2 linked regions of the Notamacropus eugenii genome follow. Each later gene encodes a partner of the first gene's protein in a complex. Links are inferred from orthologs where the notes say so. Each region holds a gene or a part of one and is shown in the gene's direction. Other genes may lie near its edges. The genes, in order: SMAD7 and SMURF2.

Evidence for each region.
Region 2: the proteins of SMAD7 (region 1) and SMURF2 are in contact, whole or in part, in an NMR structure (PDB 2LTZ), measured with the Homo sapiens proteins. The link is inferred for Notamacropus eugenii from reciprocal best matches to the Homo sapiens genes SMAD7 and SMURF2. Residues at the interface, in NP_005895.1 of Homo sapiens: Glu203, Leu204, Glu205, Ser206, Pro207, Pro208, Pro209, Tyr211, Ser212, Arg213, Tyr214, Pro215, Met216, Asp217; in NP_073576.1 of Homo sapiens: Glu304, Arg306, Asn307, Thr308, Ala309, Thr310, Arg312, Tyr314, Val316, Asp317, His318, Arg321, Thr322, Thr323, Gln324, Phe325, Thr326.

What each region holds. Positions count from the first base shown.
Region 1 is NC_092875.1:323,881,591-323,894,219, forward strand, and holds the start of SMAD7 (mothers against decapentaplegic homolog 7), read left to right. Parts: upstream 1-7,923; 5' UTR 7,924-10,017; coding exon 10,018-10,672; intron 10,673-12,053; coding exon 12,054-12,107; intron 12,108-12,629. UniProt on the Homo sapiens protein: Antagonist of signaling by TGF-beta (transforming growth factor) type 1 receptor superfamily members; has been shown to inhibit TGF-beta (Transforming growth factor) and activin signaling by associating with their receptors thus preventing SMAD2 access.
Region 2 is NC_092873.1:327,714,987-327,726,721, reverse strand, and holds the start of SMURF2 (E3 ubiquitin-protein ligase SMURF2), read left to right. Parts: upstream 1-6,657; 5' UTR 6,658-6,792; coding exon 6,793-6,844; intron 6,845-11,735. UniProt on the Homo sapiens protein: E3 ubiquitin-protein ligase which accepts ubiquitin from an E2 ubiquitin-conjugating enzyme in the form of a thioester and then directly transfers the ubiquitin to targeted substrates.

The sequences.
Region 1 (12,629 bases):
AGAAACTGTTTCCAACTTTCTATTATGTATCCAGTGCTTAGCATAGTTCCTAATACATTTTTTTTCATTCATTCGTTCAGCCATTTATTCATTAAGTCACAGATCTTCTCAATGAACTTTGCACTGGTTTTCCCTCCATCCACAGTTTGTTCTCCTTTGCCTCTGCTAGTTAGAATCTCTGGCTTCCTTCAAGACTTAGCCCACCTCCTTCATTAGGCCTATAACGATTTGTTCTCTTTCTCCCAGTCGCCAATCTTTTCTTCTAAGGTGGCTCAGTGGATAGAGTGCTGGGCCTGAAATCAGAAAGACTGACCCTGAGTTCAAACATGATCCCAGGGACTTACTAGCTGTATAACCCTGGGCAAGTCATTTAACTCTGTTTGCCTCAGTTTCCTCATCTGTAAAATGAGCAGGAAAAGGAAATGGCAAATACTCCAGTATCTTTGCTAAGAAAGCCCCAAAGGAGTCACAAAGCACTGGACATGACTGAAAGATGACTCAGCAACTGCAGTCTATAGGCACATTGTATAGACCTGTTTTTCATAATAGAATGTAAGCCCTTGGTGAAGGGACCGCAGGGACGATTTTTTACTTTTTAGTACATGACACAAGGATTAATAAATGCTTGTGAATGGATGGATAGATTGTGTTGAATTTTCTCTTTTTTAAGTATATTTTTTCTGGTTCCCTCCATCAGAAGAGGAGCTCCTAGATGACTAACTCACAAAGCAAGTTTTGTTGTGGTTTTATCGTCCTCATATCCTTGGCACATCCCCAACTGCCTAGGCCAGAGCTCTGGTGAACAGGACTCAGTTGTGGTTATTGACTTACTCTATACCTGCAGAATAAAAGTATTGGATGACTCTGGGTCCTTGAAGACTCAGAGTTCGGAGCGTTTTTCTTTGATTATGAATTCAATACATCTTCATTCCCTTTCAGCTCTTATTCAGTAGACAGCCAAGGAGTGTTGAGAGCCACATTGGTTTTAGTAATGCTGCCTACCTTCCTGAAATGATTTCTTTCAATTGTATTATTGCCAGATTAAAATGGCTTAGTGCTCACTCACACATTTTCAATGAATGATTGTGCAGGAAATGTTGATATTTTACAACATTTTTTGAACCATTTAAACTTAAAAATATTTTTGAAATCTTTAAAAATGAAGAATTTTTTCTCCCCCTTTTCTTGGTTGCTGATACCACCCCTGAACCTTACCTTTTACTCTCTCTTGAAGTTATTTTTTGCAAAGGAAGCAGAGCGGGAATTCTAATGCCTAGTCATTGCTATTAACATTTTATTTTCAGGTTCTATTTAGGATTTTTTTTGTAAAAGGTTCTTTTCCATCTAGCCAGAAACCGTAGTCCCAAATTCTTCTTACTTGTTTGTGTCTCAACCCTCCTTACTCTTTCTTTGTGCAGTACAATGAGTTAGAGTTAGAAAAGACTTGGATTAAAATTCTGCCTCTGACACTAAGTAATTGTGTAACCATGACATAGAAGGACCATTGGACTTGAAATCAAATTGTATCAGACACTTACTAGCTAAGTGATCTTGGGCAAATTACTTAGCCTTTCTAATCCTCAGTTTCCTCATCTGCAAAATACCTATAGTATCTACCTCAAAGACATCAAATGAGATAATACATGCAAAATTAGTTTTGCTATATACACATCATCTGTCATTACACTATTTCCTCCATTGCTTTTCAGGATCCCATTTTCTGTCCCTTTTGGCTTCCTGGGCACTCTGTTGAAACCTTCAGGTGGGGTCTGGGACGGAATTTTAAGGGTCTGCTGATGTTAAAGGGGAGGATTTGGGGGAGACTCAGTTACCAGACAAAGTTGCTCCCCTTTCCCTCTTAAAAACCAGAAGCTTGCTAGCTCATGAATGCTGGGATGGGACATTTGCCCGAATTCTTCCTAGGTTAGTCCAAGGCTCTTCAACTATAGGAGATTAAATAGCCAGTTTCTTTAGATGACTCCATCCTTGTTTGTCATAACTGCTGCTAGTTATTTTGGTCTCCATGACTTGTGGCTGTACCATGATTAGTGTTTGATTACTATCACCAAAGTGACTAAAAGATGAAAATAGAAGCCACAACAGGAAATAAACAACTGCAAATGAGATATTTTATTCCATATTCCCTGCCAGCAACTGATTAGAATCAAATTCATTCATAATAGTTGGGGGGGGGGCGGGGATTTCTAAACTCTTTTTAAGGCCCAGAGGAAGCAGGAAAGGTACACATGTCCCTCACATTTATATTTGTGAAAGAGAATGGAAAGGAAACTTTCCACAGAGCAGCAAGGGACCCTCCTCTGCAGTAGGGACCCGTCCTACCCAGTAGTCTCAGACTCAAACTGCTTGTTTGTTTTATGTTTAATACCACTAATCTATTCACACGACTATCTAAGTCTTTGTTTGCCTTTGCTGAGATTTGTTAATCTAGTTATTGGCCTCTTATACAAAGGGCTACATAATATGGGGGAAGAGGGAGCCACTAAGTAGTCCAAAATTCTGGTTTGAGATTCTTGCTTTTCTTGGCAGTTTTTCGAAAGGAACCGTGAAGGAGAGGACAGATGGGGAGAATTGGAAAAGGTTTGCTGTTAATATCAAGATAAGGGGTCATTGATGTAAAAAGCATGAAGAATTAATAAAGATTGATGCTTGCCCCTATAAATCAGCTCCTTTGAAAAGTTTTGGTTCAGTGAGTTCAATGGAAAGGGAGAAGCAATGGCCAGAATGAAATAGCTCTCTAAAGTCTGGATTAAAACAGTATAAACAATAAAGAAAGGTGGTGTCACATAGGTGACCCCTCCAAAAATGATCCCTTAGCAAGAACTATGTTCAAGTCCCATGCCTGATATGTGATGCACACTGGCTGTGTGACCCCAGGGAAGCTACCTATCCTCTTAGTCCCCCAGACAACTCTGGAAAACAATAAATTTTAGGGCAGGTGTCAATTTGCTTTGGTTGTGAGAATTTCTTCATCAGGAGTTCCTTAGGGCAGGGAAATAAAATTCCTTCCCCTCCAATCAAAAATCCCCTTGAGAATAGGATATGTATGTATGTGTATGTATATGTGTGTGTGTATATGTATACACATACATGCAAACAAATGGCACATATGCCTATGTGCTATCTAGTCATGCCCTCAACATAATAATATAGCATTTGATCCTCACCACAACCCTATAAAATAGGTGCTGTTATCATACCTATTTTGTAGATGAGTAAATCAAGGCTGAGAGAGCTTAAATGACTAGCCCAGGGTTACACAGCTATTTGGGGTAGAATTTGAATCCAGCTGGTTCTGAATCGAACTCTAGCACTCTCAACTCTGCCACCTTGATGACACCAGATTAAACTTTTGTCACATTTGTTAAGTTTGCCTGACATATATGTGTTATGTATGTATGTATTACTTATATTTCTATTAGAAGGAGAAAAGTTAACACAATTTTCCAAAGCTTTTGAAATAAGAAAACTTTTTTGTTCAGATTCTCAAGTTAGCCAAGAAATACATTAGCACTAGGACTTTTGTTTTCTATTTATTCAATTCCATCTTAACATCTGAAGGCTAGTCTCACAAAATGTTAGAACTGGGAAAAGACCTCAGAATAATTTAGTCCAATGTCTTAATTTTATAGATGAGAAAACCAAGCCCCAAACAGGTGAAGTGACTTGCCCAAATCATAGCTCATTAGGTAGACTCCAAATGGAGTGTTCTTTCCCATAGTGGGCCGCCTTTGGAAGATGAGCCTGCCTGTCATTTATTTATTTATTTGTTTGTTTGTTTGTTTATTTATTTTTTTTATTTAACTTTTAACATTTATTTTCACAAAATTTTGGGTTACAAATTTTCTCCCCTTTTATCCCCTCCCCCCCAAACCCAAGCATTCTAGTTGCCCCTGTGACCAATCTGCTCTCTCCTCTATCCTCCCTCCCTGCCCTTGTCTCCGTCTTCTCTTTTGCCCTGTAGGGCCAGAAAGCTTTCTTGACCCCTTAACCTGTATTTCTTATTTCCCAGTGGTAAGAACATTACATTTTGATCCTAACACTTTGAGTTCCAACTTCTTTAGCTCCCTCCCTCTCCACCCCTTCCCCTTGGAAGACAGGCAATTCAATATAGGCCAAATCTGTGTAGTTTTGCAAATGATTTCCGTACTAGTTGTGTTGTATAGGACTAACTATATTTCCCTCCACCCTATCCTGTCCCCCATTACTTCTATTCTCTTTTGATCCTTTCCCTCCCCATGAGTGTCAACCTCGGATTGCATTCTCCTCCTCATGCCCTCCCCTCCATCCTCCCCCCCACCCTGCTTGTGCCCCTGTCCCCCACTCTCCTGTATTATGAGATAGGTTTTCCTATCAAAATGAGTGTGCATTTTATTCTTTCCTTTCGTGGAATGTGATGAGAGTAGACCTCATGTTTTTCTCTCGCCTCCCCTCTTTATCCCTCCACTAATAAGTCTTTTGCTTGCCTCTTTTATGAGAGATAATTTGCCCCATTCAACTTCTCCCTTTCTCCTCCCAATATTTCTCTCTCACTGCTTGATTTCATTTTTTTTTTAAGATATGATCCCATCCTCTTCAATTCACTCTGTGCACTCTGTCTCTATGTATGTGTGCGTGTGTGCATGTGTGTGTATGTACTCCCACCCAGTACCCAGATACTGAAATGTTTCAAGAGTTACAAATATTGTCTTTCCATGTAGGAATGTAAACAGTTCAACTTTAGTAAGTCCCTTATGACTTCTCTTTGCTGTTCACCTTTTCATGGTTTTTTTTTTTTGAACCCTCAAGAACAGTATTTCTGTCTTTATTTCATAATGCTTAAAGATTCTCTTGTAAATACTGAGCAGGGAACTAAACTGACACTCTGAATTGTCAAGGTCCAGATTCTTCCTTCCCATCTCCATTTCTTCTGTGTGTAACAGCTATATTTCTGATTAAAACTCATAATACTTTGTTGTGGCTGACTCTTTGTGACCCTATTTGGAGTGGTAAAGATACTAGAGTACCATTTTCTTTCCGAGCTTGTTTTATAGATGAGGAAACTGAGACAAACAGGGTTAAGTGACTAGCCCAGGGTCACACTGCTTCTAAGTGTCTGAAGTCAGATTTGATCTCAGGAAGATAAGGAGTCTTTCTGACTGCAGGTCAACACTCTATCAACTGCACCACCTAGTTGCCCCAAACGTGCCAAGCTACTTCATTAGACCTTAGAGTTAGAAGGATTTACAATGGGGAAAATTAAGATCCAGAGAAGAAATGACTTGTGCAAAGTTACATAGACCTGAGATTCAAATTCACATGTTTTGATTCCAGATCCAGGATTCTTTCCACAATGAAAGAGCACCTTTCCTATTTCCAATGAAAAGTTTAATTGAAACACATAGCTGAGAGAAACATGTTCTCTATTGGTATATAGGCATTCTATAGACTGATGTACCTATGCACAGCTTCCCAGAAATGTATTTAGATGATCTCTGCTAGAGAATGATCACACAACATAAAAGGATGTGTTTGAGTTATTTAGTTTTTTCACTCACACCTAATTCTGTCCACCTTTCTATGTGCAAGGCAATTTGAAGTTACTAAAATATCTGAGATAATCTCTTTAATCTCAAACAGTTAACAGTCTAGTAAGGGAGATATAAAATTCTTGCTTTTTAATAACAACTTAAAGTTAACATTTCTTGTTCAGTCACATGAAATCCCCCCATTTTGAATGTTTACTTTTTAAAAACTCATACTACTATTTGTTCCCTGTACATGTCAAGTAGGCAGCTAGGTGGCGCAGTGGATAGAGCACTGGGTTTGGACTCAGGAAGACTCATCTTTTATGAGTTCAAATCTGGTACTTACCAACTGGGAAACTCTGGGGAAGTCACTTAACCCTGTTGGCCTCAGTTCCTCAACTGTAAAATGGACTGGAAAAGAAAATGGCAAGCTACTCTAGCATCTCTGTCAAGAAAACCTCAAATGGGGTTATGAAGTCAGACATATGTCTAAAGTCAACAATGTATGTCAAGCATGCTAGTTTTTTAAATCAATAAATACTAGACATTACTAATGTTTGTATATGAATTTGAAAATATCAACTGTCACCTCCTCAAAAGAATCTTTTCAGATCCTCTTCCCCAAGCTTTTTGCAGACCTCCACACCCAGACATTCCTTTGAATTTTATACTTAATATTTACTTATCTATGTTCTTCTTATTTTTCCCCTTTAGAATACAAGCCCATGGAGGGTAGAAAATATTTTAATATTTATCTTTGTATACTAAAGGGCCCCGTGAAACTGCAGTAGGAGCAAATGTTGGTTGAATTGAACATTACTCCTGTATAAATGTTTTATTAAGATTCTCTGAATTCCATGTGACCCAGGGCAAATCACTTAACCTTTCAATGCCCCAGGCAACTTTCTAAATTACTGAGAAGGTGCGGACCTGCTTTGGAAGTGGGAGTTCCTTCCAGGAAGCCCCTACCCAGATAAGATCAAAAGTCCAGTCCAAAAAGGGGGGGTAGGGGGTTGGGGGAAATCATCTGGATGTTCAGTTCCTCACTCATCACCAACTTACACATTTATTAGGGCTGGCTGTCTAGGTGGTGGAGGAGTAGATAGCACCCCAGGTTTTCGGTGTCTGCAGCACTTAGTATAATGTCTGGCATATCGTAGGCGCTTAATAAATGCTGCTAGTTGACTTACTGAAGAAGTATGGAGAAGATACAATTCCTGATCCTCAGCATCATAGTATCTAAGAGAAACCATCACCATCCATGTCACTAAGGGCATATGTTGCTATATGCATGTCTCCTATAGTGCCATACATTTCAAGGCAGCCGATTCAAGCTTTGGTTACGTTGTGTTCGTGGGGGTTGAATGTTGTGTCTACATATTTACTTACGAAATAAGAAATTTGCAGGTCACTACATCCAGCCTCCCTCCATTCACCCACCTCTTCGTGTTGGGAGTTGCCAAAATCCGCTACAAGCCCCACTTTACACTTCACAACCCTAAATACATTCCAGAGCTGTTCACAATACACACTTCCGATGTAGTTACCGAAACAAGAGCGTGGAGGAGACCGAAAGAAGACTGAGGTCACATTCTCGTCCGGCTCCCCACCCCTAGGCCAGAGCTCTGCTCGTTCCCCTCCAGTGGAGACTTCCTGGGGCTCCAGTCCAGTCTAGTTTTAAATGACTTCTTAAAAGAGGACAGAGCTCCCCCCTCCTCCCTCCGGAGACTGCTGGGCAACAAACCCAATAGATCTCACGGTCAGGACTCTCCATCTCTTTAAATGAATGAAATGGGTTGGGGAGGGGGGCTTAGAGGAAAGATTGGGCCGGAGGGGTACTGTACAGGGGCAACGAACACCCAGACTAGTCTGCTGATGCAAACCCATTCTTGAGTCCTTTTTTTTGTTTTGCTTTTAATATTTTCTCTTTGCTGTAACTCTTCCAGCCGACCTGATTTTATATATGTGTATGTATGTATATAGATAGATACCTATACGCATGCACGCACATATATAGGGAATCAGGTGTTTTTTTCTCTCTCCACCTCCTCTTTTCTTCCTCTCTTTCTCTTCCTTCTCAGTTTCTCTTTCTCTCTCCCCCTCTCTCCCCAGAATTCAGGAGGAGGGAGTAGGAAGGGAAAGCAGGGGGGGGAGGGTGGTAAGGAGAAGAAAAAGAAATAGCTTTTAGAAACCCGATCTGTTGTTTGCGAAACACAATCGCTTTTTTTTTTAAAGCGACAGGGTGTCTAGACGGTCACGTGTCCAGGCCGGAGCCGGGCGCGCCACTGCGCAGTGGAATCAGCGAAGCAGAGAGAGCCAGGGCGAAGTGGGAGGGGGGGTGTAGGGGAAGGAGGAGGAGGAGGAGGAGGAGGAGGAGGGGCGGGGGAGGAGGAGGAGGAAGAGAAGCAGGGGAGTGTGTGTGCAGCAGGCGGCGAGCTTCAGACACACATACATACATACACACACACACACACACACACACACATGCATACACGGGAGCTAGGTCCGCGAGTAGAGCGAGGTGAGAGCCAATACCGGCTGGAGGCAGAAGCTGTTCGGAACCCTCACTGCCCTCCTCGGCTTCCCGGAGTCTTCCCCTCCCCTCGGGATTGCAAAGCACCGGAGCCCGGCTCCAGAAGCCAAAGGCAAAGACTAAGAAGAAGAAGGACACCCCACATTAAAAAAATATTCCCCTCTGCCTTCTCCTGCGAGGCAAAGCCTGCTGGTCCCCTCCCTCCCCAGAAGAAGAGGGGAAAAAAAGGGAGGAGAAAATAGGAGAGAAGAAGGGATTCCAAGCTTTTTTTCTTGCTGCTTGCTGCCCGGCGCATTGAGAGGAAAATAAAAGTCGGAGAGGCCAGAGAAGAGAAGGAGGCGGAAAGTAAGCAGCCACCCTCGAGGGAGCCCCGAGCCCAGACAAGCGACTGCCTGCCGTGCTTTTTTTTGATCTTTCCTCCTCCTCTCCTTCTCTCCTCCTCCTTCTCCTCCTCCTCCTCCTGCTTGCTTGCGTGTCTGCAGCCGAGGCGAGGAGCCTGGGCGAGGAGCAACCCTGAGAGGAGGAAGACACGGTTGCAGTAGCATTTGCTAGAGAGAGCCAGCCAGCCTGCGAGCTAGAGAGCGAAGCCGACGCCAGTCTCACCTCCTGTCAGCCTCGGCATCACCCCCCCTCTCAGATCTGTTTTTTCTCTCATCTCCCTCCTGCAGCCGTGGGGCCTGGAGGAAGTGGGGACTGGGTCGGGGCGGGGGAAGCAAGGCTATCCCTCGGAGATCCACCTCGGAAAAACCAGGAGAGCTAGTGAAGGCTGGTGCAGTTTTTTTTTGGAGGGGAGAGTGGGTGGCTCTTTGTTTTTTTTTTTTCTTCTTTCGCTGAGGTGGTGTTAGGAAGGAGGAAAGACGAGAGGCTCACTTAAAATAATAATCAGACGAGCATGGTGGAAGAAGCCGATTCAAAGCTTCCTTTGGATTAAAAAAAGATACATATACACATATGTATATATCTTTGGCAGAAGAAAAGGAGAGGAAGAAGAACCGAGCTCCTAGAAGAAAAAAAAGGATGTTAACTCTTGGATACATTTTTTTCCACCAAAATTTTTTTTTGTGATACTTTGTAAACGTTTTGTCGCCCTTTTTCTTCTCTTTTTTGAAAACTCCGACACAACCGGACGTCCCCGGGGCTGCGCCTTGCAGTGGTGATTGTTTTAAATTTTTATTTAGAATATTTGGGTTCCCCTCCCTTTTTAATTGAAAAATAATTTTTTCGTCAGGCACCTCATGCGGGGTGAAATTCACTTTCTTCCCCTCCCCCGAACCTTCGTGTGGATGGAATTCGTGGAGATCCGGTTACTAAGGATATAGTGCAAAAAAACAAATTAAATCGCGTGCCTGCCTTTTTTTTTTTAATTGCCAGCTTCTCCTCACCCCCAAATTAAGTTGCTTAGAGAAGGGGAAAAGAGCATTTTCTCCTGATTCAATCAAAGAAACAAAACCTTAAATTTTCCTTTTCCTGAGGTTCTTAGCCTCAGTAAGGAACTGAGGCTGGAGGTGCTGACATTCAAAAGCTACTCCTCTTCGTTCTGCGTTTGGGGGGCAGTGAGGAGAGAAGGAAGAACTACCTCTCCTGAATCCCCGTTTTTTCTCCCTTTTCCTTTGTATCTTCCCTTGGTCAGCCCGGTCTGTTTCCTCGGCGGGGCTGGGCGAGACGACCTGAATTGGGTGCCAGTGGAGCGGGGTGGGGAAGCCGGAGAGGAGCGGTCCCTCCCCTGCCAGGCCCCCCCAAGCCCCCCCACTCCCTCCGGGCTCCGAGAGACTGGCGCATGTTACGGAGCGTCCCTCCTGCCGCTGCCGCTCCTGCCCGGGCTCTTGCTGCTGCTGCTGCTGCTGCTGCTGCCGCCTGCGACTGCTGCCCCAACTCGGCGCCCAAATTCTTCATGGTGTGCGGAGGTCATGTTCGCTCCTTAGCCGGGAAACGACTTTTCTCCTCGCCTCCTCGTCCCGCATGTTCAGGACCAAACGATCGGTGCTCGTCCGGCGTCTCTGGAGGAGCCGTGCGCCCGGCGGGGAGGACGAGGAGGAGGGCGCAGGAGGAGGCGGAGGCGGAGGAGGAGGAGGGGAGCCGAGGAGGGAAGGGGCGACGGACAGCCGGGCGCATGGGGCTGGAGGAGGAGGCGGCGCTGGTAGGGGTGGCTGTTGCCTGGGCAAGTCGGTCAAAGGTGCCAAAGGTCACCACCACCACCATCACCACCACTCCTCCTTGGGCGCCGGCGCTGCCGGGGGCTCGGAGGCTGAATTGAAGGCGCTAACCCACTCCGTGTTGAAGAAACTGAAGGAACGGCAGCTGGAGTTGTTGCTGCAGGCGGTGGAGTCCCGCGGGGGAACCCGCACCGCCTGCCTCCTCCTGCCTGGCAGAGTGGACTCCAGGCTGGCCCTGGGGCAGGGGCCTCCCGCGTCCCCTCTCCAGACTCAGCCTACCCAGCCTCAGCCGCCGCCGTCGTCTTACTCGCTCCCCTTGTTGTTGTGCAAAGTGTTCAGGTGGCCAGATCTCAGGCATTCCTCGGAAGTCAAGAGGTTGTGTTGCTGTGAATCTTACGGGAAAAACAACCCGGAGCTGGTCTGCTGCAACCCTCACCACCTTAGTAGACTCTGCGAATTAGGTAAGGAGTTTTCACTTGCTTCAAGTAAAGCTTCTCCCCTTGCCAGTGATGGAGCAAACAGAATTGGGGTCTATACTTTTTACAACTGTGTGATTGCATTCTTTTCACCCTGCATTGCTAGTGGGGAAAATGTGTGCTTATAGTGAGGATGCATTGTAAGGGGATCCGGGGGCTTGGACTGATGTGTACTGTGCCTTCTTCCTTTTCTCCACTCTTCAGGCCCGTGAGTATGATTTGGCGTGCATATTATTCATGCAGACCATACGTGTGCATGTAGTTCAAAATTAGAGACCAAAAAAGGGTGCAGAAAAAAAGTGTCCTTGCTCCCTCTTGCCCCCACTCAGATAAAGGAGTAGGAGATGTCAATGATGCAGACTAATTGATTCCAAGAGAAGTGGAAGTGTTCCGAGTGACGTGAATCTCCTATCCCTTGGTAAATAAGGAAAGTCAAGTTGACTCTGGGACTGGGCTATGGGGATTGCAAAGACAGCTTGAAAAAAAGCTATCTACATAGCCTGCTGTAGATTTCCTCCTGAATTGAAGAAAGAACAAGAAGCCACTGGGACATTGGGATTCCAATTTTTCCTCCTCCAGAAGAAAGAGAGAGTCCATACAATTACAGGCTCTGGTATTTATCAGATGACATATTTGTTGCCCCTTTACAGAGCTATAGTCCAAAAGGATTCCCCTTAAAGCTCTATATAATAAGCGTAAGCTGTCATTCACTGTCCCCCTCCTCTGACTCTCTCTCTCTCTCTCTCTTTCTCTTTCTCTCTCTCTCTCGTTTTGGGTGAATGGGGGCATATTGATTTTGGAGTATTTTCTAATTTAAAACTCCGTTCCCATTGTAGCCGTCCCAGAGTTTCGCGCAGCTCCTACAAACTTTCTTGAGTTCTTGGGTGGTTGGGTTGTGAAATAGAAATCAGCTGGTGGCAGGCAGATCGATAGGACTTTTCTCCTTTTTTCATTATGTTTGGGTGTGTGGTTAGAGGAGGAGATGAGTGTGGGGTTATGGGGAGGGTTGGGAGTGAAGGGGGATTTTCTTTCTTTCCCTCTTTTCTGTGAAATGTTCTACGTGCTGCTCGGGAGGATTATCCAGCAGCCTGAATCCGTGGTGATTTCCAGAGCTGGAGTGTTTCAGCTGAGCCAGGGAGACCGGATCAGACAGTCAGAGTAGCAGATAGCAGCGAGTCTGGCGCCAGGCGGCCTCTTTTGTTTATCTGACAGCAAAATATCAAGGCAATCGCCGCCTCCCGGCCCTGCCTCCAACCCCCAGAGCTAAGACAAACAGTTTTGCTAAAAGAATGCCACTGTTATCACAAGTTTCTATCTCTTTTTCTCATGGCTCTGCCTTATTTTCTCTTTACTTTTTCAATTCCAGAGTCTCCCCCTCCTCCCTACTCCAGATACCCAATGGATTTTCTCAAACCAACTGGTGAGTAGATGATTTTAAAGTACTTCGAGTGTGTTTAGGAATAGAATGGTTAAGTCGGGTGTGTAGTAAAAGCAGCAGGGAGTCGTTATGCTTATTAAATATAGAATGTGCTCCTCGTTTTTTGGGGGTTTTTCCCAGTAACTTTGTTAGGGCTAAGGGGCCTTTTTTTTCAGGCTTATATTAGAAATGCTTTAAAATATTTTGTTCCTTTTAAGTGTTTTTGCCCTCTGTGCCCTACCAGTTTTAAAATGCATAGGCTGTGATGGGTACCAGAAAAATGTCAAGGGAGTCAAGAGATAACTGGTTTTTAGAAGAATTTTAGAAGAATTCAAAAATTTCTAAAATCCCAGTGCCCAAAGAGTAAGGGCGTGGAGTGGGGAACTTTTACAAATTCCAGCACTTTTTTCATTTTGATGGATCTAGGTTGGTAACCTAGTGGCCAGAGAGAATGTTATTTTCTAAGGTTAAAAAAGGTGATTTGTAGTACATTTGAGTTTTTAGGAAAACAGCAACCACAAATCC
Region 2 (11,735 bases), on another chromosome or scaffold:
GATAGAGTTTCTGCTAAGAAATCTTTGTGCATAGGAAATACACATGATAATAGATTTATGCAAAGCTCCAAACACTTGATACAACTGCTTCCAAAATAGTAACAGAGAACTGGTAAGGTCCTACAATGAGAATGCATCAAAACCACCCATTCTCTATCGAGAAACTAGATGGATCAATTGATGTGGAAATCTGCTTGTGGAAAGCACCATCAGCTACAGTACTAAAACTACTATGGTTTGTTGCCTGCATTCATAATTGAATGAAATCTATCCATAGACCCTTTTTGTCCTATCCATGGATCCCAGGTTAAGAACCCCTAGTCTATAGACACAAAAAGCCCCTCTTATTTGGAATTGAGTTCCTTCAGACATGGTAGAAATTCCAAAGTTGTATGACTGCTGACCAGTCATATTTCCATATAGAGATTGGTGGAGGGGTCAGAGAAGAAAGAAGAAGGCTATATCTACCCAGGCTAAGTGCTGTATTAAATTGAGTATTCTTTCTCTGCCACGGCTAAGTAAACCTTCTTTTGTAAAATAGACATTGGGGATAGCTCACATTGATTTAGCTGAGCAAAGCTCTCTTGCCTAAGTTACCTACTGTGATCCACCAGCCAAGTGTCACAGTACCCATGGAGCTCCTCATGACTACTCTGGATTTAGGCAATGAGGAAACGATGTACACAGGCCGAGCCTTTAGTCCCTAAGCCAACCAAGTCTCCAGGAATGTCTTAATACCTTTTAAGAAATGTGTACATCTGGAAGGGTGTAGAAATCTTCTGAACATTTAGTGAGGTGAGAAAACTGGAGGACAGAGTGGGGGAGGGACTTTTAGAGGGGTGTGTGGATTGAGATGGGGTAGTAAATGGGGGTATTGTTGAGGAGTAGGTGAAGTAAGTGGGTGGGAGGGGGAGGAGAGAAGATAAGGTAATAGGAATAGGGTAAAAAGAGAGGCTGAGAAAGAAAATAGCGAGTAAAAATAAGGTGGAGGGAAATTCACAAATAGTAATTATAACTTTTAATGTGAATGGGATGTTTATGATGGCTCCCTTTCTGGTGGCAAAGAACTGGAATCCTCATCAATTGGGCAATGGTGAAACAAGTTGTGGCATTTGGTCCTAATGGAATACTACTGTACTATAAGAAAAGATGGGCATAATGACCTTAGATGGGCACGGAAAGTCTAAGAGCAAAGTGAGAAGAACCAGGAGAACACTGTATACAATACCAGCAATATTGTTTTAAGAATGACTTTGAGTGAATGGATCATTTTGGCTATTATAAATACACAAACTAAAAATAAAGAACATATGAAGATGCTATCTGCATCCAGAGAAGGAATTGATAAAAAGAAGCATGTATAGAATAATTTTACATATACACCTATTTGTGTCTAATGGTAGGCATCTCTAGGGCAAAGAGTAGAGGGAGGGAAAAAGAAAGAAATTTATATGTTAACTTCTTTGTATATTTAGAGGGAATAGCAAGTTGTACATGGTAGATTTGTAGTTTCATGTGCAATTATCTTTTTTATTGTACTGTGTTATAGAAATGCTTGTTCTGTTCCATGAATTGAAAATAAAATAAAGAAAATGTTGAGTGGACTACATGTCTTATTTGGTTCCTCCATTGAACCTAAACTACCAATAGATTGGCCTAAATCAGGCCCTGCTCAGAATAAAGAGGGAGATTCCAACTAGTAGACTAGGGAACAGTGAATTTAGTAGTGGTGGTGGGGTGTCAGTGTTCACTTGAACCCTGAAATAAGTTGCGTTTAATCAGTCAAGAAACATTTATTAAACACCTGCTATGTGCCAGGTACTGTGTTAAATACTGAGGATACAAAGAAAGGCAAAAAACCAGTCCCTGGCCTCAAGGAGTTCACAGTCTAATGGGGGAAGACAACACATAAAAAGAAGCTGAAAGGAGAAGTAGGGTAAGGTGGGGAAATCTGTGCAGGTATCTGGATTAAGTTCTGCAACTAGTTGTTAAGTGGAGGATATAGGAGTCAGTCTCTGATGTCCTCCCTGCACCCTGTCCAATCAGAGGGAGGAAAGTATTCCAGGGAGAGAGGTATCAAAGAATTGAGAATTTTGGAGTTGATGTGGTCTTCCAGGAGAATGAGTTTGGAGATAATAATAAAGTACCAGATAGCTGCCAGGATGGGAAATCATGAGGTAGTTGCCCTTAAATGAAGGATGTGAGAGTAGCTCACCAAAGTCATTCAAAAAACTTAGGACCTTGTAACTATCCTATAATAGCTGACCCTGATCCATGAAGAGGACTGATGACTGTCCCAGAAGAGATATCATCTGTATCATGGCCTTGTTGTTCCTGGTGCCACTCATTGTCACCTCTTTTGAATTCTTGTGACTATTACTGCATTTTCCAAATGAAGTCTTTGTTATCAGTCTGTTCATAACATGATAATAATTTCCCAAAAGGAAATTATATCGGAGATTTTTGCAACACATTTAGAAGCTTTCTTTAATCACTTGCTATTACTTCTAAGCTATTTAAAGCTGTTGAATAACTTGCCCATGGTGTCTCAGCAAATATATATAATTCTTTTTTTTTTTCTGTTTTCCTTTGTAAATGAAAATGCTTATCTTCTTTGGTGCTGGTTAAGTTCAGAATAAGAATTTTTTTTAAATAAAAGAATAGTTAATTTGCTGTGATTGTTACCTACCTCTGACATCATTTCTCACTATCTTCTCCTTTAGTCTGGTCACTGGTGAAGAGGTGACTCTTCACCTTGCCAAGGCTGTCTCCTTTCTGTTTATTTGCCATTGCTTCTATCTTCTCCTATTTTATCTAACAGATTGTCCCTGCTATGATACTCAAATCTTTAATCCCTGCTGCCTACAAAAATTCCTTAGTCTTCTTCATTTGATTTGATTCTACCATCACCATCAACTATTATTCTACATCTTCTCTTTCTTGGCTAACCTTGAAAATGTCATCTGTACTTAGTTCCTCCAAATTGCTCTCCTATCCCTCTATTCTAAACTCTTTGCATTGTGGTTTCTGATCTCATCACTCAACTGAAATTGCTCTCTCTAAAGTAATCAATAATCTCTTAATTTCCAAATCTAATGACCTATTATGCTAAGTTCTTATCCTGTTTAAACTCTGTGCAGCATTTGATACTGTTAATCATCTGCTTCTGGTTACTCTCTGGGTTTTTATGACTCTTCTTTCTTCTGGCAAATCTCCTACCTGTCTAGTCATTATTTTTCGGTTTTCTTTACTGGATGTTCATGTCACTCCCATTAACTGCAGATGTCCTCTAAGAATCTGTCCTGGGCCTTATTCTCTGTTCTTCCTATGCTCTCAAACTTGGCATTCTCATCAGCTTCCAGAAATACAATTATCATCTCTGTGCAGGTGATTCCTAGATCTTTATATTCAGCTCTAATCCCTCCTGAATTACATAGTTCCTGTTTTCAAACTGGGTGCCCTAGATGTCCTCAAACTCAACATATTCTACCCAAAACAACTAATTTTCTTTCTATCCAAATGTCTTCCAAACTTCCATATGCCCTGCTGAGGGCAGCAACATACTTCCTGTTACCCAAGTTTGTAACCTCAAGGTTATACTTAACTTTTCACTTTCACTTATCTCATATTGCCAGATCTTCCCCTTTTCTTCACATTTTTTGGATACATTTTTTCTCTAATCATGTAGTCATCATCCTAGTTCAGGCCTTTATCAGCTTTCACCTGGAGTATTGTCATAGTCTAATCGAACTCTCTACCTTGGAGTCTCTTACTTTGTTAATACATCTTCCATACAGTTTTAAAAGTGGCTTTCCTAAACCTCAGGTCTGCTCATGTCCTCTCGCTATTCAATCAAGTCCAATGGCTCCCTATTGGGAATTTTAGGTTTAGGACAGTGCCTGGCATACAATAGATGCTTAAAAAAAATACTTTGTGATGAGTTTTAGGAATAAATGTGTACCTTTTTATTTGGCACTTTTAAACATCCTGACTCCTATCTTTCCAGTCTTTATACACATTACTTCTTTCTGCTCACAATGTGGTCTTCTTGCTGTTCTCCACACCCTATGTTTCAGTTCTCATCTATGCTACCTTTGCCCTGTTTCCTGACCTCTGACTCATGTAATCCCTGGCTTCCTTCAAACCCCAGTTTATGGGCCACCTGTGCAGGGCCATTCCTAGTTCTCTTTCAGTACTTGTACCTTCCCTGAAAGTATCTTTTGTAACAAGGTATTGGATAGGTCTTGAACTAAATGTCCCCTGGGTAAAATAAAGGTCTAAGCCTTCACAAGGAATTCTGGGATTTGTAATCTGAGAGACAGAAAGCATTTCTTGTTATCCTGAGCCTGGAACTACAGATTTCAATGGCACCTGGAAGTTTTCAAAAGAAGTAGTCTGTGAGAGAAGGGGAGAGACAGAATATGGAAAGGTAGCAGTGGCAGGAGTGGATACCATTGAAGAGAAATATCTGGTGGTTTTCTTAGGGTAGTGTGTGTGTTCTGGCACAGGAGGCTGAGCAAGGAAAGATGACTTCAGTGCTCAGTCTTTGATAAATGGAGCAAAGAAACTCAAACTGAAGTTGCTAGACGACTGTCTACTTAAGAAGTAAGGAAAACTAGGGAAAGGTTTTACTCTTTGCATCTCTCACCTCCCTGTTTGCTAACTGCTGCTCATGTGTAGATTTTTGCCCCTCCCTGCTCCTTTGTTTCTTTATCCTGAATTTGTTTCTTATAAATCCAGGGTCGATTATGACTGCTTTGACTTACATACATTTATTCAGTTCTTGGAAAAGGGGACATGAGGGATGCCACTGATTGGCTTAAACACTTAGGTCGGAGGGTTACACTTTGGTTCAGTGTGTGTGGGGAGAAAGGGAATAAGTATTTATATATCCCCAACAAGCACTTTACAGTTATTATCATTTGATCATCCATCACAACAACCTTTTGAAGTCGGTGTGATTAGTATTCTCATTTTACAGTTCAGGAAAAAGGGGCAAACAAGTCAAGTGACTTGCCCAGGGTCACACAGCTAGCAAGTTCCTGAAGCGGGATCTGAACGCGGGTCTTCATGACTTCAGGTCCATTGCACCGTTTCATTGTAGCTGTTGTTATAGCACTCCCCAACTTGTTTATAGCAAGCTCTTATGATTTTAGTAATAATAATAATTTTATAAGCTTCCCCTAAAGCAGAATTTAAATTGGATCCCAGGCTTTCCTTTCCCCTAGGCTATAGATGCGAACTCTGTTACAGCCCAGACTATTTAACTTTGAACCTAGGAATCCCAAGCAAAACTCCAGGGGAAGTGTGAAGCAGGGGAGACTGAGGGAAAGGTCCCGCCCTAAGGCCACCCAATGGGAGGACAAAAGTCCGGTTAGGGAAGAATCAGTCCCTCTCCTTTTTCCTTTTTTTCTGGGGGGTGGGAGGGGGAGAAAGGGAGTGTTTCCCAGCTAGATCTTCCCCACAGTGACACCAGCTGATTACATCTCCCTTGTATATATCTTGTATATCTAGACCTCTTCATGTTCATATTGCTTCCCCCCATCAAGGTCAACCTCTTGAGAGCGGGGACTTGTTTTCCCTTTTTCTTCGGACCGCCAGAGTTCTGCACGGGGGACTGACACAAGGCAGCAAGAGCTTCAGGAACGCCTGGCAGCTGTCACCGCTGGAGGGAGGGGCTGGGAGGGACGCTAAGCCTGTGGAGTGTCGTAGCCACAGGACCATCTCAAGAGAAGGTAGCCCAGCTGCTCCAGGAAGAATGCACAGAAGGGGCGGGGGCGGAGGCGGGAGGCATTTAACTTCTGTCCAGGCTTCCTCGACTGAAAAAGGAGGAGTTCTTCCCTCCTTTTCCTCTTGGGGAGGCTAGCGCTTTAAATGCTAGAAGAGGTTCTACCAGGGAGCAAAGCTGTTACTGGGTTAGGAGTCCGGTCACCCCCAGCTCGGGTGGCGGGGGGTCGGGGAACCTGACCCCACCCCTTAGGAATGGAACAGAATGTCTCCCCAGGGTGGGGGTGGGTGAGGACGCCAGGTCGGTCAGCCGCCTCTTCGGGGCTTCGGGGACACTTCTGCCTCCCAAGGGTCCCGAAAAGCACGTGAGGAGGCGTGGCAGGGCCAAGGCCAGGGGATAGGTCAAGACCGTCTGCCGGGGCGGCGGCGGCGGACCGGACGCTCGGCTGGAGCCTCTTCCCTTCCTCTCGGCTTCTTCCGTCCCCTCGCGCTCCCCGTGACGTCACAGACCCCGCCCCAGCTCTTCTACACCCTTTGTCACCCCCCCCCCCCCAAACGCTCAGCACTCCCCCCCAGACTGAGTGGCAGCGTCGGCTGGAACGCGTTCCTTCCGAGGGAGGGCGGGTGGAGGAAGGAAGACGAGGAACCTCGAGCTCAGCCCCGGCGTCGCCTCAGCCCGGCCCCTCTTCGCCGAGCCGAGCCGAGCAGGGCAGCGGGGGGCTGGCCGGAGCCCGAGAAGCCGGAGGAGAGGGCGGGCGCGGTGGGAGCGATCTCGGCGTCCCGCTCTCTCCTCGGCTCATGGCGAGGACTCTCGGCACATCCGGGACCCTGGGGCCGCCGCGGCCGCGGCTCCGGCTGCTCCGTCCCCAGCGCCAGCCCCGGCCCGGGCCTCAGTCCCAGCCCCGGCCCCAGCCCCGGCCGCTCTGGTGACTCCGCCGCGCCTTCGCTCCGCCCGTCCGCCCCCGGCTCACCAGCCGCGCGCTCGGATACTGGGAGACGCCCGGCCCGGCGCCCCGCGCCCCGCGCCCAGGCCCTGGACGAGTCGCCGCCGCCGAGGCCGAGGCCATGTCTAACCCCGGGGGCCGGAGGAACGGGCCCGTCAAGCTGCGCCTGACAGGTGAGGGCAGGGCCATGGGCCGGCGGGGATCCCGGGGGCAGCCCGGCTCGAGGCGGGCCGGACCGGGCCGAGGGGACCGCGGTCTCCCGCTGTGGTCCCAGGAGTTGCGGCCCGGCCCGGCTCGCGAGGAGGTGTCGGCACCGGGGTCGGAAGGCCTCGGGCCAAGGCCGATCCAGAGTCGCCGCTTTCAGAACTCTCGCAGCCCCTCAGCCACCTCTGTTCTTTTGTTGGGGGACTGGGAGTGAGAGAGAATGTGTGCGCGCGCGTGTTTAGTGAGTTTGTGAGTGTGAGAATGCGTGAATGCTAGTGTGCGTGTGTGCGTACGCGTGTAGAGGGGAGGTCAGGTTTTGAACTCGACTTACTCGGAGTTGGAAGTCCTCGGAGCTCCAGAGCTGGGCTCTCTCTAGACTCCTCTCAGCACTGGCCCTCCCAGGTTCTGTCCCTTGAAGCCCCAGGCTGCGGTGCCGCCCGCCTCGTGCCCCGCAGAGCTTGAATGCAGTGCCCCTGCGCTGGGGATAGGGTGCACCCCCTGGGAGCACGAAAGCTTCTGGGGATGTTTGCTGAAGCACCCCTGGGTTATTCAGGTGACTCCCTGCTGCCAGTCCAGGGTAGCCTGGAAGCCGTGTTTGTATACATCGCAAGGCTTTGTTGCTCATGGAGGAATTGTGTAGACGGACCACCGGCCCCCCGCCACCTTTTCTTCAATCTTACACTTTTTTATTGCCCGAAATCAGAATAATCAAGCTCATTCAACATATTCTGCGTTTTGACAGTGTTAATGGTAACCTAGCCTTTAGAAAATGCTTATTTTTGTGAGCTCAGAGAAGCCGTGTGTGTGTAAATCAAGAACTTGTAAACTCAGGACTCCTGGGAAAAGAAAACTCTGATATCAGGAAAGCGTTTTCCCCCCATGACTTTGGCTAAAGTTTGCCAACTTGAAAAAATAAACCAAAAAATGGCTCTTCTTGAGCTTAAAAAAGAAGTATATTGTTTCATAATTTACCTATCAGGTGTGCTAAATACTGATATGACATCGTAAACAAATTTTGATTTTTGTTTTGAAGATATGTCAAAATGAGTCAGTTACCCTGCCCTTGGGGAAAAAATTCCAGGTTGCTAAAGTTTATCTGAATAACTACTGAGAAAACCCAGTTTTATTAAAATAGGTGTTTTAGGTATAGTTTGATCAGTGATAAAAGTTGATATTCTGATTTGAAGTGATTAAAATTTTTGTCACAGAATTTTTTTTGGCTCTTCCCCCTAAACCTACCACTTTCTCTTGAGGGCATCATGATTCTTCCTATCACCATGGTGGTCATTCCTAACCTTACTGTCATTCTTAACCCTTGACTCTTGTTACAAAGAAATTGTCCATATTTAATCAGTTGCCAATTCTTACACGAATCTATCCCCTTGTCACTTCTTATCCCACAACCACCCTGGGTCCAGGGCTTGTAACCTCTTGCCTGGACTGTTGCAGTAGCTCCTAATTGGTCTTTAGGCCTCCAGTCTCTATGCTCTAAAATTGATCCTCCACACAGTTGTGAAGTCTGACTGCACTTCTTTGCTCAAAAAGTTTTAGTGACTCCTCATCACTGCCTTTAGGATAAAGTACAGATTACCCTGTTTGGCATTTAAAGTCCTGGCTCCAGCCTATCTTTTCAGACTGATTACACATTACTCCCTTTCCTGAACTCTACACTCTAGCTAGTAGTATGGGCTGTTTGCTGTTCTTGGTGCAGGCCATTATATATCCTTCCTGTCCTCCCTTCCTGCTCTCCCTTCTAGTCTCTGCTCCATGGATGCTCTACCTGCATTCAAAGCTCAGCTCAGGTGCCATTTCTTTCAGGAGGCCTTCTTTCATGTCTGTTGGTCATTGTGTATTTATTTTGCATATATCCTGTACTTATACATTGACTGTGTAAGGTCCTTGAGTTGGTTGGTAGCATTTTTATATTTGCATTCTCAGAGTTTGTTGCAATGTGTAACACATAATAAATAGGCACTTAAATGCTTGTTGGCTGATAGAAGAAAAAGCTATACCTGTTGACTTTGTTATTATGTGGATTTGGTAATTAAGCAATTGCTATCACTTTCAGAGTCCATGGGCATAACCTCTGAGATTAAAAACTCTGAGGTTAATTTGGTTGATAAATGTGGGAGATTTATTTTAGATTGAATGTATGCTGGCTCTACCTTTTCAAGTCCGTGTCTATGATGATATTAAGCATACGAATTATGACTCCAGATGAGCAATAGGTATCAAAAGTAGGATTTTTGCTACTTATTTTTATTAAATCTGTCCCTAAATGGAGAAAATGAAAGTATGAACAGATTTGCAGCAAATAAAAAGAAGTTGAGTTTTCCACATAAGCCATTAGATTCTTAAAATGTGTCCAGTGTTTTGGATTTTTTTTTTTTTGGTGCCAGTGGTTTTAAGGTGCTTCCTTTCTATGTGTAAAATTTAATAAAGCACTGAGCAGTGTAGGTTTCTCAGAAAGATTGTAATCTTAAGGAAAGACCTTCTTTAGTGCACCAGACTAAACTTCATTAAATGTAAATTAATTATATGTAATATAATAATTGAATTCATGTATTTTCAGATTTTGATAAATTTCAAGATACAATGTTATCTTTATTGCCATTGATTATAAGGTAGTGTTAGGAAGCCTGATTTGTGTGGTTTACTCTTGAAATTTGATAATTTTTTAAAATCTAAATTTTTCTTTTTCTCTTTGGCTTCAGAGTGACAATTTTTTATTTTGGCACAAATCCTCCCTTCCCCTTTATTATTTGTAAATCAGATGGTATAGAGTTAACAAACAGATTTCTAGAACTGGATTTAATTAGCAGCTTTTTAGGATATAAACACTAATGGGTTAGATGGAAAACATTGTTTTGACTGACTGGATAAATGACAAGGCAGTGTTTGATCAAAGTCCAGGAATTGGTCTGGAGCTAATACCCAACTTCTCAGTCTGTCCTTGAGAAGCCAAATAAAATATTTAACCTAGGCCTAATTTTTTTGGGGGGAAAAAGTTTGATTTTTTTGTTAGGCTCTTAAGAAAGTTCTAAGAAATGTTTGGCATACCTTTACACTAAGTGTTTAATAGTTTATTTAGATCTGGTTTCCATGATAGAAAAAAACATCGGTAGTAGGCATTTAAAGAGTTGATATTTGGTTTATGGAACACACTGGCTATAAGATCCTTCAAGATTATTGTTCTTTGCTTTATTTGTTTTATCATAAACCATTTTTTTAAGTAATAGAATTTTTAGTTTTTAGACTATCTTTTATTCCAAAATACTTTACGAACTGTAGGAATGTGCATATGGATGTAACCATGGGTATATATGCATAGAAACGTATTTCCTTGATATACAACTGCCTCTGATGAAAGATGATAACCAATTCTTTGGACATTGTTAGGAGGAAAAAAAATAATTCAGCTTGGGATATTTTTGGTTTTAGTAAATGCTGCATAAACTCAGTGTTCAGGCCTCAGATTTTCAAGCATTTACCTAAGTTCTAAGTCACTGTGTTGTTAGTACAATACTTGGTACAAAAAGACAGGGCTGATTTAATCCTGAATATGTGGTAGAAAGCCACATATTGGTCTAGAAAGCCTATCCACCCTGTAGCATTTGTAGGTGGTTATTAAGTATATGTTTTTATTCTTGAGAGTAGCTATAGCTTGAAGAAAGCTGTCAACATTAATAAAATTGATATTTAGATGAAATTGAATGATTTAAAAAAATTTTAAGATAGGATTATTACTGGAGTAAATAAATTTTTAGTAGACAAGGTTTTAGAAAAGTTGAGTGATGTGTATTCATATTTGAACTTTAGCAAAATTTAGAATTTTGCATAGTCTCAATGTTTATAAATTTATCAAATAGTTATTGGGGTTTCTAACAATTTTAGTTTCTTAGATGTAAAAAGTTAATAGTACTTCTCCATAATAGTGATTTTAAATACTTTTAGAATTTCCATTCCATGATTTTCCTGTCTCCTCCTTGTAACATCTTATTACTCTAGTACTCCAATGGATCCCATCCATGGAGGCATTTTATGCTGTGATTCAGATCATAACCTATTTCTCTCTGTCCATCCAGTGTGACTCATTTGTGCTGTCCCATAAATTTCCCCTTAGGTCTCTTGGAATTGGAGGGATATCAGTGAAACACATGGGCTGTCCATTGGCTTTATCTCTTTAACTGAGCCATTCTTTTTGCCATGCATTACACTTCTTCGATAACATCCTTGACTCAACTTCTCTTGAGTTATTCCACGTGTGTAATGTCTTGAAGCCTGTTTAGTACACCATGTCAGTAAGGCAAGAATTTTTTGAACACTTAATGTACAGTAGTCTAAGGCCTGGGAATACAGAGAAAGGCAAAAACTGTCCCTGCTCTCAAGGAGCTGGTATTTTAATGGGGGAAATAACATGCAAATAACTTTATATATCTAAGTATCTGGCTCCATTAATTCCACCACCCACTTAAAAAGTAAATTACCTTTGTTAGGTAGGTACTTTTTTATTGAATCAAACAATCAGAACAATTGTGAACAGGCCTTGTATACTTCCTTGCAATAAAAGCCATTGTTAGACTGTTTCCCATCTTCAGAATTTGTATAAAAGGCAGGAACAATCTCAGAATTAAGAGTGAGAATAGATGAAGAGATTGGAGCAGGCTTGACCTTTGCTTTATACACCTTTGCTGAGGGGGAAAGGAACAAGTATGAAGTGCTTACTATGTTCAAGCACTTCCGCTATTTGCCTCATTTAATCCTCACAACAATTCTGTAAGGTGGGTGCTATTATTATTCCCATTTTACAGTTGCAGAAACTGAGACAGAAAAGTTAAGTGACTTGCCCAGAGTCATATA